Linked DNA regions of Oryctolagus cuniculus. The protein of the gene in region 3 purifies or fractionates together with the protein of the main gene of each other region. This does not show direct contact. Links are inferred from orthologs where the notes say so. Each region holds a gene or a part of one and is shown on either strand. Other genes may lie near its edges. The genes, in order: CDK5RAP2, AKAP9 and PRKAR2B.

The links.
Region 1: the proteins of PRKAR2B (region 3) and CDK5RAP2 purify together in Homo sapiens (affinity purification with mass spectrometry; 3 studies listed by BioGRID and IntAct, counting the BioPlex papers as one, with this or other methods). This does not show direct contact. The link is inferred for Oryctolagus cuniculus from reciprocal best matches to the Homo sapiens genes PRKAR2B and CDK5RAP2.
Region 2: the proteins of PRKAR2B (region 3) and AKAP9 purify together in Homo sapiens (affinity purification with mass spectrometry; 3 studies listed by BioGRID and IntAct, counting the BioPlex papers as one, with this or other methods). This does not show direct contact. The link is inferred for Oryctolagus cuniculus from reciprocal best matches to the Homo sapiens genes PRKAR2B and AKAP9.

What each region holds. Positions count from the first base shown.
Region 1 is NC_091432.1:224,487,107-224,492,224, reverse strand, and holds the start of CDK5RAP2 (CDK5 regulatory subunit-associated protein 2), read left to right. Parts: upstream 1-1,690; 5' UTR 1,691-1,879; coding exon 1,880-1,935; intron 1,936-5,118. UniProt on the Homo sapiens protein: Potential regulator of CDK5 activity via its interaction with CDK5R1. Negative regulator of centriole disengagement (licensing) which maintains centriole engagement and cohesion. Involved in regulation of mitotic spindle orientation.
Region 2 is NC_091447.1:43,775,255-43,780,382, forward strand, and holds the start of AKAP9 (A-kinase anchor protein 9), read right to left. Parts: upstream 3,104-5,128; 5' UTR 3,018-3,103; coding exon 2,970-3,017; intron 1-2,969. UniProt on the Homo sapiens protein: Scaffolding protein that assembles several protein kinases and phosphatases on the centrosome and Golgi apparatus. Required to maintain the integrity of the Golgi apparatus. Required for microtubule nucleation at the cis-side of the Golgi apparatus.
Region 3 is NC_091434.1:137,198,216-137,203,562, forward strand, and holds the start of PRKAR2B (cAMP-dependent protein kinase type II-beta regulatory subunit), read right to left. Parts: upstream 3,579-5,347; 5' UTR 3,416-3,578; coding exon 3,100-3,415; intron 2,948-3,099; exon of another isoform or gene 2,726-2,947; intron 1-2,725. UniProt on the Homo sapiens protein: Regulatory subunit of the cAMP-dependent protein kinases involved in cAMP signaling in cells. Type II regulatory chains mediate membrane association by binding to anchoring proteins, including the MAP2 kinase.

The DNA.
Region 1 (5,118 bases), on a different chromosome or scaffold from region 3:
GAATCTTGACACCGCCTTGCTTTCGGACACACTGATCTGGACTGAATCTAGCAGTGGTCAGGAGGCTTGGTTCTGGGGCTTCAAGGACCGCTCCTTCCCTGGGGCAGTGCATGCCGGGTGCCAAGCCCACTCCCTCTTTCGGGCTATTGCTGTTGACTGATTCTGGTGGTGGCTGAGGTGTCGCTCCCCCTCTTCGTGGAGGAACGACACAGGACCCTGCGCTGTTCTTTCGTCTGCTCGGCCCTCCCCGGGTTTGCTGCTGGTTCTTCCCGGGTTGGCTACTATCCCTTCCACCTCCGTGGAAGGGCAGTTCCCCCTGGCCGCATTCCCCACTTCCGCAGGGGAGCGGCACACCGCCGGCCGGTTCTCTCGGGGGCTGCACGGGTTCCCTTAGATGTTCCCCATAGATGTTCCTGGTGCATGCCGTCTCTCTCCTCCTTTATAGTCCTCCTCCGCCAATCCCAACTCGGCTGCCCACACGCCGAGTACGCTGCTCTCCTCCAATCAGGAGCAAGTCCTACAGTTTATTGGCTGAACTGGAGGCAGCTGTGCGGAAGCTGTTTACTTCTCTCCCAGCGCCATATTGTGGGAGAGCAGATGCATAGAATAAGTCTTAATTCCAGTAACTCAGTCTAGTCCGGTTTGCTCCCCACACTGAGGGTCTGCAGAAGGAAGAGGGACAAGTGCAGAGGCTGGGCTCTGAAAGCCTCACTAATGCTGAGGGAGGGGAGAGAAGAGGAGGAGGGAAGAAGAGGAGAGGAGAGGAGAGGAGAGGAGAGGAGAGGAGAGGAGAGGAGAGAGGAGAGGAGAGATCTTCTGCCAGAGATCTTCTACCTGCTTTTTCACTCCTCAAATGCTCACGACAGTCAGGGCTGGGCCAAGAACTGCATCCGAGTCTCCCAGGTGGGTGGCAGGGATTCAAGTACTTGAACCATCACCTTGCTACCTCCCAGGGCATGCATTAACAGGAAGCTGGATTGAAAGTGCACTAGCTGGGACTAGAATCAGGCACTCTGTGGGCCCTCTGATATGGGAGGTGGGCTTAACCTGCTGTAGCACAATGCCAGCCTCAGGAGAGTCCTCATTTAGTTGGCAGGAGCCACGGATCTGGCTCCAGTTCACAGACTTAGTGCATATTACTAAGGGGGGAATCACTCCTTTCGAGCCTTGGTTTAGCTATTGCAGGCGCGTTTTAGTAGTAATGGTAATAAAGGACCACTAAGTGCGAGCTTGGAGTGGAGTCTGACCCCTTGTATCGGAGGGAGGAACCATTTGTTTCAAACTACGTGTGCAAACAACTAGGATTCCACAGGTAGGATTTTTCTAAAGTGAATCAGCATCTTAGTATATGGGTGGGAGCCTTTTGGAGACACAGATCCAAAGAGTCATCATTCTAGAAAAGCAAATACCGCCTCAGGAACTCTGAAGTTCCCATAGGAACTGTATTCCCATCTCCCGCTTAAACTAACGGACCACAGTCAGTTTTTGCCCTCAACAAAGATGGCACCTGCGGGCTCCTGCGGGAATGCCCTCATAAAAAATGGCAGCTCCTTCTCTTTCGTTAGTTTTATGGGCTAAAGCGCCGACGTTCTGCCCTTAGTTAAGATGGCGCCCATTGCCGCTTCCCTGCCCTGCCTCTCGCCGCCGCAGGTTGGCTTCACAGCGCGCGTCCGTGGCCCCGCCTTGTTTCCGCAGGAAGAAGCGCCGGGAAATATGGCGGCCGCTGTGGTTTGAATTCCAGCGGCGCCGCGGGAGTCAGAACAAGAGCTGGGTTGGAAGGGGGGCGGGGACCGGGGGAGACGGGCGGGTCGCCACAGCGGGGGCAACCAGTGGCGCCGCCCCCACAGGCACCAGCGCCACCATCGCCTTTTCATCCGCTATGGACTCGGTGTTGGAAGAGGACGTCAGCCTCCCTGGGACGCTCAGCGGCTGCAGGTGCGGCCCGGGCACAGTGAGGGGGTTCGCGGTCATCAGGCTGGGCTCTCCGCTGATGGGGCCCTGGGGTTTGCTCTTGCGGGTGTTGGAGTGTTTGGTCCCGGGCAGTGTGTGTGTATGCCTGCCTACTTCAGGTTATTTTACGGAGGGAGGCTTTGCGTTGATCGTGTGGGGGTCCCCACTGGCCCCACACTCGCTTCTGTTGTTTTGGGGCGCTCTTGGAAGAGGAGGTGAAAGCCGGGTTAAGGGGCTTTCTGAAAGAGCAGGCCGAGGGGGACCACTTGGAGTATGCTAGTAGTTGGGGGCTGGTTGTGGGACGGGGGTCTTGAGGGTGTTTGATGGCTCACCCTGGGCACGGGTTTGCTTTCATCGTGGGGGAGGTAGTGCCAGCGCCCAGACTTTTCTTATTAAGGTCACAGAGTCGCGACGGAGGATGGAAGCAGTGAAGTACAGTGTTTAAGTTCCTTGGCTGGAGTTAGAACTGGATTCAAATTCAGACTTATAAAGTAGTCATCTGGTGGCCTTGGTAAAGTGACTGAATCTGATTTCCCATCTGCACAGTGGGCCGGTGTTAATATCCACGCAGCAGAATGGGGTGAAGATTGAAAGAGGCAGTTCACTGGGCAAGTGTAGTTAGTGCCTGGCATACAATGAGTGCTGAAAAAATGCTCTAGTGTTGCCATTGTCCTTACTATGATCAGTAGTGATGGAGATTGAGGACTAATGGCTGAGAGTGGCCTTCCAAGTCCCCATTGCTGGTGGGGCTGGGGTCTCTGTGGCAGGAGGTTCTGCTTGGGTCCTAGACTGCTCTGGGCTGGGTCTCGGGTTGTACCTGGGTCCTGATGGGAGAGTAGATGGAAGGAAGGGGAGGAGAGTCCTGACGGAACCCACACTGCTTACCTAGTTTTCCTAGGGACAGGCTGCTGCTTTTGCTCAACAGATTCTTAGTGAATGAAATTGTTATTTAATGTGTAAACTGGATGCTTTTAAGAGTAACTTGGGCACAGTCAGTATGTGTGCCTGAACAGCAAGGTAGGAATCCAGCGGTGGTGTCCTGGGCAAATCTGGAAGATGCGTACTCTGTGTATCACGTACAAAGCTCTTTGCAGCTTTTGCCTAATCAGATCTTTGTGGAAGTTCATTATGTCCCTTCTCTTCATCTTAACCACCACTACTACCACTGCCTCTCACCTGTACTGTTCTGGCTTCCTTTAACCACCAGCAGTTGTTAATACTACAGCTTGAAAACTCTATTTTTTTTTTTTAGAATATGGCTAGCTTTTTAAAAAATTATTTAAGGTATACAAATTTCATGTATTCCTATATGCAGATTCAGGAACATACTAATACTTCCTCCCCGACCTTTCCTCCTGCCCACACTCCCACCCTTCTTCCTCCTCCCTCTCTTATTCCTATTCTTAATTTTTACAAATATCTGTTTTCCGTTAACTTTGTACTCATAAGATTAACCCTAAACTAAGTGAAGAGTTCAACAAATAGTATGAAGAAAAAAAGCACTGTTCCTCAACAGTAAAGGCCTGTAAACAAATATCAAGTTTCAAAATGTCAATTTTACTTCTATAGATTACCTTTTAGGTACTCTATTAGTTATATAGATCAGGGAAAACATGATATTTGTCACTTTGGGACTGGCTTATTTCACTAACTATAATGGTTTCCAGTGGCATCCATTTTGTTGCAAATGAAAGGACTTCATTTTTTTAACTGCTGTATAGTATTCTATAGTATATATATAGAATAATTTCTTTATCCAGTCTTTAGTTGATGGGCATCTGAGTTGATTCTGTATCTTAGCTGTTGTGAAATAAGTTGCAATAAACATGAGGGTACAGATCACTCTTTGATACGCAGATTTCATTTCATTTGAGAAAATTCCTGGGAGTGGATGGCTGGGTCATATGGCAGGTCTGTATTTAGATTTCTGAGGTATCTCCATCCTAGCACAGTGGCTGCATTGAAATACATCCTCATCAGCAGTGAGCTGGGTTTCCATTTTCCCCACATCCTTGCCAGCATTTATTGTTTGTTGATTTCTTATGAGGGCCATTCTAACTGGGGGTGAGGTGAAACCTCATGTGGTTTTGATTTGCATTTCCCTGATGGCTAGTGATCCCGAGCATTTTCTCATGTGTCTGTTGGCCGTTTGTATTATCTCTTGAAAAATGCCTGTTCAAGTCCTTTGCCCATTTCTTAACTGGATTGGAAAACTATTAAATATAAATCTGATCCCCACAGTCTGCTGCTAAGTACTTTGAACACTTTTTATTGCCATGAGGATAAAGCCCATTACTCTCTCAGCTGGCGCCACTCTCATCTCAGTGCTGGTTGACCAAATACTTGGCTTTGGGACCCAGACCTAGCTCAGTTTGAATCCCAGTTCTGCTACTTTACCCTGTGACCTTGATAAGTCACTCATCCTCTTTTAACTTCAATTTTCATCATCTATAAAATGGGTTTGTGCTAAGCCCAGGATTAGCATAAGGATTAAAATGAGTTTACTCAACAGAATAGCAAATACTCTCCTTTCCCTCCTCTCCCTGCCTTTGCAGGACCAGGGTGTTGCACACTTCCTGATAGCTAATCTGTCTGCATCTTCCCCAGCTCCTCCCTGTCATCAGGATGAAGCTCTTTAACGTGATTTCCAGAATTCTTCATGGTCTGGCCCGGTGTGCCTCTCTAGCCTCCTCTCTCTCTAATTCCCTACCCATGTCTCCTCCTCTTCACCTTATACCTGGCTGCCAGAATCTGTCACCCTTGGTCTTGCCTTGTCCTTCCTCACATTGAGCCTGCGCACTTGTTGCTCCTGCTGTGTGGGGGGCCCTCCTGACTGCCCTTGGCCTTACTCATGCCTGCCATGTCTCAGGTCTCAGACATCACTGCTAGCAAGCTTGCTGACACTCCCTCTCCCCATCTGTGCCCTCTACCATTCTGGCCACCCTCACCTGTCAGTGACCTTACTCCAGCCCTTGATGGCTTCACTGAATTTGATTGACCAGTGCTGTGCAACAGAAATACAATGTAGGCCATGTCTATAATTAAAAGTTTTCTAGAAGCCGTATTTTAAAAAGCAAATTGAAATAGGTAGAATTAGTAATATATTTTATTTTTTTTAAAGATTTTATTTTTTTGAGAGATAGAGTTACAAACAGTGAGAGGCAGAGA
Region 2 (5,128 bases), on a different chromosome or scaffold from region 3:
CAGATGGAAGGTCTCTCTCTGTTTCCTTCTCTCTATATATAACTCTGCCTTTCAAATAAACAAATCTTTAAAAAAAATGAGATAAAAACATTACCAAATGCAATATGTAAATCTAATGAACGAATGAGACATTTGAAGAATCTAATCTCTCAACAAATTTTGGAAACTGAAAATTCTAAGTGGTTTCTGATGCCAGCAATGAAATCTTTAAATTATGATAATTCCAGATTATTGCTACTTTTGAAGCAGAGGCGGGGGGGGGGGGGGGAGGTCTTCCACATGCTGGTTCACTCCCCAGATGGCTGCCAACTACCAGAGCTGTGCCGATCTGAAGCCAGGAGCCAGGAGCTTCTTCCACGTCTCCCATGAAGGTGCAGGAGCTCAAGGACTTGGGCCAACTTCTTCTGCCTTCCCAGGCCATAGCAGAGAGCTGGATAGGAAGTGAAACAGCCAGGACCCAAACCTGTGCCCGTATGGGATGTCGTTAGGGCAGGCAGCGACTTTACCCACTATGCCACAGCGCTGGCCCCTATTGTTACTAAACTATAACCATACTAGTAAAGCTGCACCCATTAACAACTCATTAGTCATTCTGCTCTTCATTTATTTAGCATTCACTGATAGGTATCATTCTAGGGTACACTGTGATCTAACTTGAAAAAAGATTGTCACCACCTCTATATCTCCAGCCCCTGGCATAACATGGGAGTTCAAGATGGCTTGTGCTGAATGACTACATTTAGAACCCAATGTTTTGGGCCGGCGCCGTGGCTCACTAGGCTAATCCTCCACCTTGCGGCGCTGGCACACCGGGTTCTAGTCCCGGTCGGGGCACCGGATTCTGTCCCGGTTGACCCTCTTCCAGGCCAGTTCTCTGCTGTGGCCAGGGAGTGCAGTGGAGGATGGCCCAAGTGCTTGGGCCCTGCACCCCATGGGAGACCAGGATAAGTACCTGGCTCCTGCCTTCGGATAGGCGCAGTGCGCCGGCCGCAGCACGCCGGCTGTGGCGGCCATTGGAGGGTGAACCAACGGCAAAGGAAGACCTTTCTCTCCGTCTCTCTCTCACTGTCCACTCTGCCTGTCAAAAAAAAAAAAAAAAAAAAAAAAGAACCCAATGTTTTTCAGTCCTAACTAAAACACATGCTTATATAGAGAGGAAATAATTTATAGACTATTTTTGATGATGCCATTTTCATTCTATCTTCCATGCTGTTAGTCTTCATAACGTTAATGGCTGCATACTATTCCATTGCATTTATACATCTTAGAAAGCCAGTCTCTTCATATCATCTCTCAAGACTTATTTCGGTATTTTTATTGCAGAGCTAATGTGGCCCCAAACATATCCTGCCTTATACGTTTCACAGATTTCTCACTGGGAAAAGCAGGCTTAACTCCAGAAGAAGATAAACTTCTGAAATACAAGTTAACCTATTAACATTACTCCATTGGTAGAATTTTGAAACACACACACACACACACACCGCTAGAGCATACAGAACTCCATTTTGCCAAATCAACTACTTACAACTATTTAATTAAATCCTCTATCATGATATATGTCTGTCCAAAGTAAATCACCTTTCATGGGACTGCTTCACATGTTTTTAGGAAAGACATTTTTGGGGGCAAGCAGTAAAAATTCCCAAGCCAGACAGATTAGAACTTCAGTGCTTCTGGAAGCCAGCACACAGCTAACCTCCCTCAAGGGACACACGGGGTTTGTGTAATGTAAGCAATTTGGGGGCTCTGGAAGGTGCCCTGTTCCCCTTCCCTCCATGTACAGATTCTAAAAGTCCACCTGGCTACCTGTGAGCCTGGACCTCGGGCGGAGGGAGCTTCCTGCAAAGCCCACTGCATTGCTACGTTACACACGCAGGCAGACACACCTGGGATGAGCACTCTCCTGCTGCACCTCTGCAGGTGGCCCTTCCCGGAGGACTGCAGCCAGGGCCCCGGTTTCCTTTGTTTATGTGGGGGGAGGGGAGGGAAGGCGGAGAGGAGAAACAGTTAACTACACTACCATTTAACCGCAGTCCAAGTATGATTGCTGACAATTACCTCTACAGAGATTAGCAGATAACCTACAAAAGGTCATTTCGTTGTAAAGAAGAAGGGGTCCTTTGGGGCCAACCAGAAGACACGTCTAACACGCAATGTTTAAAAGAAATAGGTTATTCAAATGTATCTCGTGTCAAGTTTTTCATGAAGCCCAAGGAATGACACCTGTGTATGATTTTGTATTGTTTGCTTTACAGGCTTTTTCGTGCGCGCGCGCACACACACGAAACAGCGGCTCACCGGAGCTACACAGAGGACAACGACATTACTCAAAGCAGGAATTCTGTAGGTGTCACTTGGAACACAGAACCTCTGGGTTCCCAGAAGTTCCATGCAGACAGCCTCGGTGCCGCGACAAAGACCTCCGCAGACAGACATACAAAGGCACGCTTCTGTCAACGCCCCTGCAGCCAAGTTCACAGCTGGCACTTGTGGCACACTCGAGCCACTGCCGAGGCAGCTGTCACAGGCCAATCACACACGCCCCGGAGTGCCAGCGTGCCAGAGAGGCGGGCGAGCCGCCGGCCGCGCGCCAATCCCCCCCAAATAAAGGAGAAGCCCTGAATCTCCTCGCTGGGCAGCACAACGCCTGCACCGCCCAGAACACCCCCTGAAGAAAGTGAAAGGCTGAGATTCGGGAGCAATTAAACACCAGCTGACGGCAGCCCTGGGCATTTACGAGAAAGCAGCCACGCCGTTCACTCAGCACCCAAGTATCGGCGGCGAGGAGGGGGCGCCGGGCTTCGCCCCTACTGGAACAAGGGGCGAGGGGGAAACGCGGGGCCGCGGCACCTCGCTCCCCGCCAGCCAGCGCGCGCCGGCCGCCGCCAGCTCCGCTCCCAGGCCCCCTCCCACCCTGCCCAGCCGCCGCCTCCCTCCCCGGGCCCGGCTGCCTCCGCCTCTCCTACCTTCGCTTTGCCGGCCTCCAGCTTCTTCTGTCGCTCCTCGTCCTCCATGGCCTCTGCGGGAAGGCGGCGGAGCAGCGGGCGGGGTTTGGGGGAGACAGGAAAGGTCGGTTCAGGCGGAGGTGGGGCGGCGAGCTCCGCGGCCCAGCGAGCAGGCCCGGCGCGGCGCGGCCCCGCCCGGAGCGCGAGCAGCCTCCGCGCTCACTGGCGGCTCGTCCCGGGCCGCACGGCCAGCGCCGTCACCGCCGCCGCCATCTTCGTCTCCACGTAAACACTCGGCGGGCGTCGTGGGGGGGGGGGGACGTCGGTCCGCGCAGCCGCCGCGCCGGGCAGGTGCGCCGCGGCCCCGCCCCCGCCCGCGCCGTCCTCCCGCGGCCCGGCGGCTCCCGGCGGCTCCCGGCGGCGGCGGGGCTGAGGCGGGAGCGGTGTCCAGGGCCGCCCGCCCGCCGGCCAGCAGTGCCGCCACGGTGCGCGGGACTCGGCGCTCTTCAAACAGAGCGGTTTTTCCAATCACGAAGCCATCAGATATGAAGGACCTCTGAGCAGCCACAGTGGCCAGCAGGCGGGAGAGACTTGCCGGACCCCGGCTTTTCAACCTAGGTGGACTCCTCCACGCCAGAAACCGGGAGAGCGGCGACTGCGGCGGTGACTTCCCTGGCCTCGCAGTCCCGCCCCCTGGCCCACGCCGGTTCCCGCCCAGGCTGCCGGGTCCTCCGAGGCCCACCTCGCACGCCTCCGCCTGCACGCACACGGCTCCTGTCTTTGTTCGCCCCCCGCCCCCGGGAGGGCTCCTGCTGAACCTGCACTCCCATCCAGCCTCGCTGGGGCCTCTGGCAGCGGTGCTCTCGGGGACCCAGCCCGGGCGCACCACCTGACACGACACACGTTACCTGTCCTGGGATTGGGGAAGGGTGGTCATCTTTGTGACTGCCCCTGGCCTACCGAATCGCCCCGAATTAATGTCGGTTGCCGTTTTTCTCGAATTTCCTTGATGTCCTCTGCACGCGTTTTGTTGGCTTGCGTGCTTCTTAGGTCACCTGATATTCCTGGCTCCTTGGAGGCACGGACCCCCTCATGGATCCTGCTCACCGTGGCATTAATAAACGACTAGCACAGGGCTTTGCTCCGAATAAATACTGCTGGGTTGACTGGTCACGTCTATAAATTGATCATTACTCTTCCGTTTCTTCCACTCACCTGGCCCCGCAATCCTCCTCCTGCCCCCTTCACCACCCTCCCATTCGCCAACCCTCCGTTCCTAGAGTGAATACAAATGATCCTGTCTTAGGTTGAATACTGATGTTGAGTTCCCCTCTCCTTTGTTGAGTGAGGTTGGGCTGAGAAACTGTCAGGAGTGGAAACAAGCTGCGAGTTCAACGTATTGGTGATATTCAGTGAAACTTGGGGTTAAAAAAGGAAAAGGTGGGAGGGGGGTGCTCTGGCATACCAGGTTAAGCCCCCACCTGGCGCTGGTTCCAGTCCTAGCTGCTGCTCTTCTGTTCCAGTTCCCTGCTAAGGGCCTAGCAAAGCAGAGGAAGATGTCCCAAGTGCTTGGGTCCCTTAACCCACGGGAGAGACCCGGAAGCAGCTCTGGCTCCCGGCTTCCCATCCAGCTTTTGTAGTCAGTTGGGGAGTGAACCCGAGGAAGGGCAAATGTGTGGCACTAGTGATTTGACACCTGTCCATTCATGTCATATCATACCAGTCATTTATATAATTTATTCATTCAAGTCATTCCCCAAGAAGATGCTATCTCGCCAAGACTTGAGAAAGATGAGGGAGTGGGCCATGGAGATAAGTGAGCTGATAGCAATCCAAAGCCTCTCAAGCGGCGATAAAGGATAAACAGGAAGCAAGGGTGGCTAGAGTGGAGTAAAACATCCAGGAGAATAATAGGAGATAAAGTCAGAGAAGTAATGAGGGTAGGGGGCAACGCGATCAGATCCTATAGAGTTCAGGAGTTCATAGTTCATTGTAAGAAAGCACTTTGGCTTTTTTTCTGTTTACAATTAGAAGCAACTGGAGAAATTTTGAGCAGAGTGACATGGTTTGGGTTATTTTCTTTTTTTAAGATTCATCTATTTATTTGAAAGTCAGGGTTACACAGAGAGAGAAGGAGAGGCAGAGAGAAAGCCTTCCATCTGCTGGTTCACTTCCCCACG
Region 3 (5,347 bases):
ACACTGACATAATTAAACTGATAGCTTTGTAGGTGTTAGGCTCACTCCTGATACGATTCCCCCCACAATGCCCTCCCAGGCACTACCTCAACTTTTTTTTCCCCCTCTGACCAGGTCTCAGCTCCAAAGGCCACCTTAGCTTGCAGCCAGTTTTGTCCAATCCCAATTTTTATGTTAAAAATTAAAAAAAAGAAAAAGAAAAATATGACTCAAACCATATGATGTTCACAAAGTCTACCATTTATTATTCGGCCTCTTACGAAACAGACTACTGACTACTTTGTTGAGACTACACTTGTTTTGAAACCTTGGGTCTCATCTCAACACAAATTATTTTAAAAGGAAAAACAACAACAAAAGAGAGAGAGAGAGAGAAACTTGATTAGACCAGAAAATATCCCAAAGCACTGAACCTAACAGAAGAAAGTGCTGCTGCCAGATCCTGAGCTGCACAGATATGGGTGAGGGTACTGCGGAAAGCTCGTGGAGTGCGCGAGTTGTGGTACAGGGGGTTAAGGCTGCCACTCAGGACACTGCATCCTGTAGTGGATTCCTGGTTCTGCTTGGCCCCTGAGCCAGCTTCCTGTTAATGCACCTGGCAGGCAGCAGATGAGAGCTTGGGTCCTCCAGTCCCTGCCACTCACCCCAGAGTTCTGGCTGGGATGTCTGGCTCCTGGCTTCCGCCAGCGCATTCAAGGAGAGAACCAGTGGATGGAATACCTCTGTCTCTGTCACTCTGCCTTTCAAATAAATAAGTAAATCTTTTAAAAGATAAAACCCTTTTTAAATTTTTATTAAAGATCTTACTTATTTATTTGAAGTCAGAGTTACAGACAAGAAGGGTGCGACAGATCTTCCATCTGCTGGTTCACTCCCTAGATGGCCGCAATGGCCAGGGCTCAGCCAAGCCAAAGGTGGGAGCCAGGAGTTTCTTCCAGGTCTCCTACAAGAATGGCAAGATCCCAAGCACTTGGGCCATCTTCTGCTGCTCTTCCCAAGCCATTAGCACGGAGCTGGATCACAAATGAGCAGCTGGGATTCCAACCAGCGCCTGTATGGGATGCCGATGTCACAGGCAGTGGCTTTACCCACAGTGCCACAATGCTGGCCCTCAAATATTTTTTAAAAGCTCACAGAAAAATTAAAAGTATGAGATTACCTCGGAAAAAAAATTGAAATCCATGTGCAGTTTTTTTATAATAGGCATTTACAACTTAAGAAAAAAAATTTTCTTGCACAAAATAAACTCATACTTTGGGTTCTACTTTTCCATAATTTTTTGCAATTCTACTGGGTAACGATCAAGTTGTAGTTGCTTGCAGTCAAAAAGTTTTAAGTTCCTTGGGGAAAAGTCTGGGAGATAAATGGTACAATGGCTTAACAGGTATTTATTAAAACCCATATTAAGCAATTTTTACAGTAAAGGTGCCCGGGAGAAAATAAAACTACATAAAACGGTCCCTGCAGTTTAGAAGTTCATGGCTTATTTCTTTATTGCAAAATGAAAACTACGTATGTGCTGTGCACACTATACAGTAATGTAAGGAGAAAACATTACTATATAGTAACACTATATAGTAATGTAAGGAGAAAACAAGGAAGCATCAATGCAAATACTTTAAAAGCACACAAACAAAATATACTAGTTATGTTCGCAATATATGATATAGATTCTTTACCAAGTCCCTTCGTTTCTTCTAATCTGGGAAACGAGCCCTTTTTTCCTTCCTGTGTGTGCACGTTCATGTGGACATGCGTGTGTATGCGTGTGTATGCGTGTGTGCACGCCTGCACTGGGAGCATAAAAGAAGTATCTGATGCCTCTGCCCTTTCTATGTCATCCATTACTGGCTTCTCATCTATTTAAAACATGCATTCTTTCATCCTGCTCTCCTTTCTAGCAAGAAAAGCATTTAATTCTTATGCAAAAAGAACAATTAAGACAATGATTATCCTATCCTGGAAAACGCTAAAAAGTAGAAAATCAAAACCTTAAGTGCCAATGTTTCCTTTTATCTCCACAAAGCACTAATTTCCAGGGGTTTGAGGGGCTGCTTTGCACAGGCTCAAATGCATGACTTTACAACCCATTCCAACACAAGGAAATGAAAGGACACTTTAAAATGTTTTTTTCTTCCACCCAGACGAAACCCGCTGCCGACACACAAACCACAAGCAGCGCACATAAATAAGAGCTGGTGCAATGCTGCACGCACGTTTGCCTCACACCACAAAGAGGACGGTACATTTGCACACCGAGGTGTGTCAGCTTAGGATGCCATAAAGAAGGGAGATGTGTGTCGATGCGAGTGTATCTGCGTGTCAGGGAGAGAGCGTTGTAAGCAGAAGGGGTGGGACTTGCCAGGAGCAGCTATTTGAGAAAATCCCTCTTTCTTCCCCATTCATTCTTTCCAGCTTTGCTGCCTGGCACGGTCCTTACAAACACTCCCTGGCTTTTCATCCTAAAGAAACCGACAAGCCTTCTGAACTTCCCAGGGTGGTTTCCACACGCGTTATTTTATTATTATTTTAAGCACTGAATCATTCAATATGTGGTTTATACTTAAAAAATAAATAAATTTTTAAAAAGCCGGTCTTCGGAAGACCCTGTGGATTGCAAGCTAAAGAGATTCCTTTGTTGTGTGTCAACTAGAAAATAATAAATTACTCCGTTTCCAGGAATGCCGGCGCGAGAACCATAAATGTGGATCTACCCTCAGCGAGTGCCAAATTGCTTGCTCCTCACGGGAAACGCTGACGACGGCGTCCGCCTCTCCTCCCTGACACCCCCAGGAGGACCCCGAGAGGGCCAGCTTCCTTCACGCACCGCGGCACCCGCCCAGCCCAACACCTCGGACCCCGGCCCGGGAAGCCGCGCGCCGCCAGCTCCCTCCTCCAGACGGAGGAGGGCGAGGGGGAGGGCACGACCAGAGAGCAGAGGAGGAAGGTGGGCGAGTGGGAGAAGACAGAAATGGATGCTGAGGGGGTGGGCGCGACGGGAAGGTAGGGGAGGCGGGGACACGCGGGGGAGCCGGGCTGCGGCTTCACGCGCAAAGCCGGCAGCGGCGCGGGCAGCGTGCGCGGAGGGTCGCTCCTCACCGTTGAACGCCCCTGCGTCCGCGGCCTCCTCTTCCTCCTCCTCCTCCTCCTCCCCGTTCTCGGAGTCGGAGTGCGCGGGCTCCTCGGCGAAGTTGACCCCCTTGCTGGGGGTGCCGCCCCCGGCGGCGGCGCCCGCGTCCCCCCAGGTCCTGCCCTCATGGCCGAAGCGCGCGGCGCCCTTGCGCTCGTTCTCCTGCTGCAGGCGCGTGAAGTGCTGCAGCGCGAACTCCAGCAGGTCGGCGGGCTGGTGCCGCAGCACCTCCACCGTGAAGCCCTGCAGCAGCTCCGTCAGTCCCGCCGGGATCTCGATGCTCATCCTGCCTCCGGGGCGGCGGGCGCCCTGGCGCCGCCCTCGCCCCCTTCTCCGGTCCGGCCTCGGACCCCGCGGCCACCAAAGCTGAGCGCCGACGGCGCGGGCGGCTGCGAGCGCGGCGCACTGGGCCCCGGCGGCCCGGCTGGCCCGGCGCGCGGCTGCTCCGTGTGGCGGCGGCTGCTGAGCGAGCGCGGCCCCGGGAGGGCTGGCAGCATCTCGGGCTCCTCCCGCTCCCGCAGCGGCCGCGCCTCTCCCCCGCCCGGCGCCCCGCCCTCGCCTTCGCCCCGCCGCCGCCGCTGCCGCCGCCGCGCGCGCCCACGTGATCCCCGGAAACCATGGCAACTGCGCGGGCTGGAGGGCGGGCGGGCGCCGAGCTCCCGCCGCTCCCACCGCCGCGGGGCTGAGGACGCCGGCGGGCGCCGGCGCGCTGGCTGGCTGGGAGCGCGGCGCCCGCACGCGCCCGGGGCGTGGGCCCCTGCGAGGCCGCGTCTCGCTCCGCTGGTGGAGCCGCCGTGCGGGGCTTCCCTGGGGGCCGGCGAGTACTCGGATACCTCGGCCTCCGCCCACGGCAGGCGTTTTTCCTCCCTCCTGGCATCCAGTTGGGTCGTCGTGTCCGGTGGGAGACTGGACGGAGAGAGGCTCCCCGGTTTGGGGGGCATCCTTCTTGTTCTCTCACGCGTCCGTTCATCCTTTGCCGGGGCGGTCCCGCGGAGCGCGCCGTGCGTTTCCCGAGACACTTGGCAAAGTTGATGGCCTGCGACCCGGAGAGTGCAGCAACTTGGATAAAATGCCGTAGTCCAGACAGGTAGTCCTCGAGCGGGAGGAAAAAAGCGGTGCTGGATTAGTCGGTTCGTGGTTATTTTAGAACTTTCCCTGTTGCTTTGGTTTGCCATTAGGTCTCCAAGACCTTCAGTATTTCAGTATAAAGAGAAATAGGGCTACAGGTGTGTAATTTTAAAGTACAGCTCCTGGACTCGGAAAGATCTAACGTCTACAGTTCAGAGGAAAGAGGATTGGTCTTTTGTCCATGAAATATTATTTCAATGCCCACTGTTCATTTTCTGCGATGACCATATTGTAAAAATAATTCAAGCAAAATCACTTTTTTCTTTTCTGTTTTATTCACTTTTTTATTCTCCTCCCCCCCCCAACACAAAACAATAAATACATTTCCCAGGAAACTCAAAAGGCCATAGATGAGAGACGAAACAAACTAATCCCTTTTATAAAAATACACTTTTGTTTATGATCCGCCTTCTATTTACTCCATGAGTGAATGTATTTTTCCATTTCCATTTCTTATCAATTTCATACTAATGTTTTTAAGTGTAATAAGTAACTTTTAGCTATAGGCATCAGGCATTTTAACAAATAAAATACTGCAATCCCCGTGTGCCACTTCTTGGAACACAATATTAGTCAGACTCGGCGGCATAAGCATTATTATTTTTACAGGTCCAGTAATCTAAGATGGATTTGTGTCTGTCTGCATTTATAATGATGTTTGTGTTGATTATAATTTGCATTACTTGCATGTGGCAGAAAATGTAGTAGCTTAAACACGATCAAATGTCGTTTCTCTGTGATCACCAGGGCCCAGGCTCCAGCCAGCTCTTTGCTCACTCATCCTCAGTTTGTGCTCCAGGATGCCTGCCGCCCTGCAAATCGTGTCAGCCACATTTCAGCTATGAAAAAAGTAGGAAAGAGAAGGCAACCGTCTCTCCCCTCCCCAGACACTGACCCCGTAAGACAATCCGGGAAGTTAAACATAACCAACTCCTCATCTGTCCTCTGGGCCAGATTCCTCTGCACAGCCCAATGTGCTCTCCTTGCCGTTCCTCCATCAGGAGTTGAAGTCTTGCTTCCCCTCCCCAGGAATGTGAATGGGTTTCTGCATGCTTTTGATGAACAAAACAGGACAAAACTCCTGCCAGC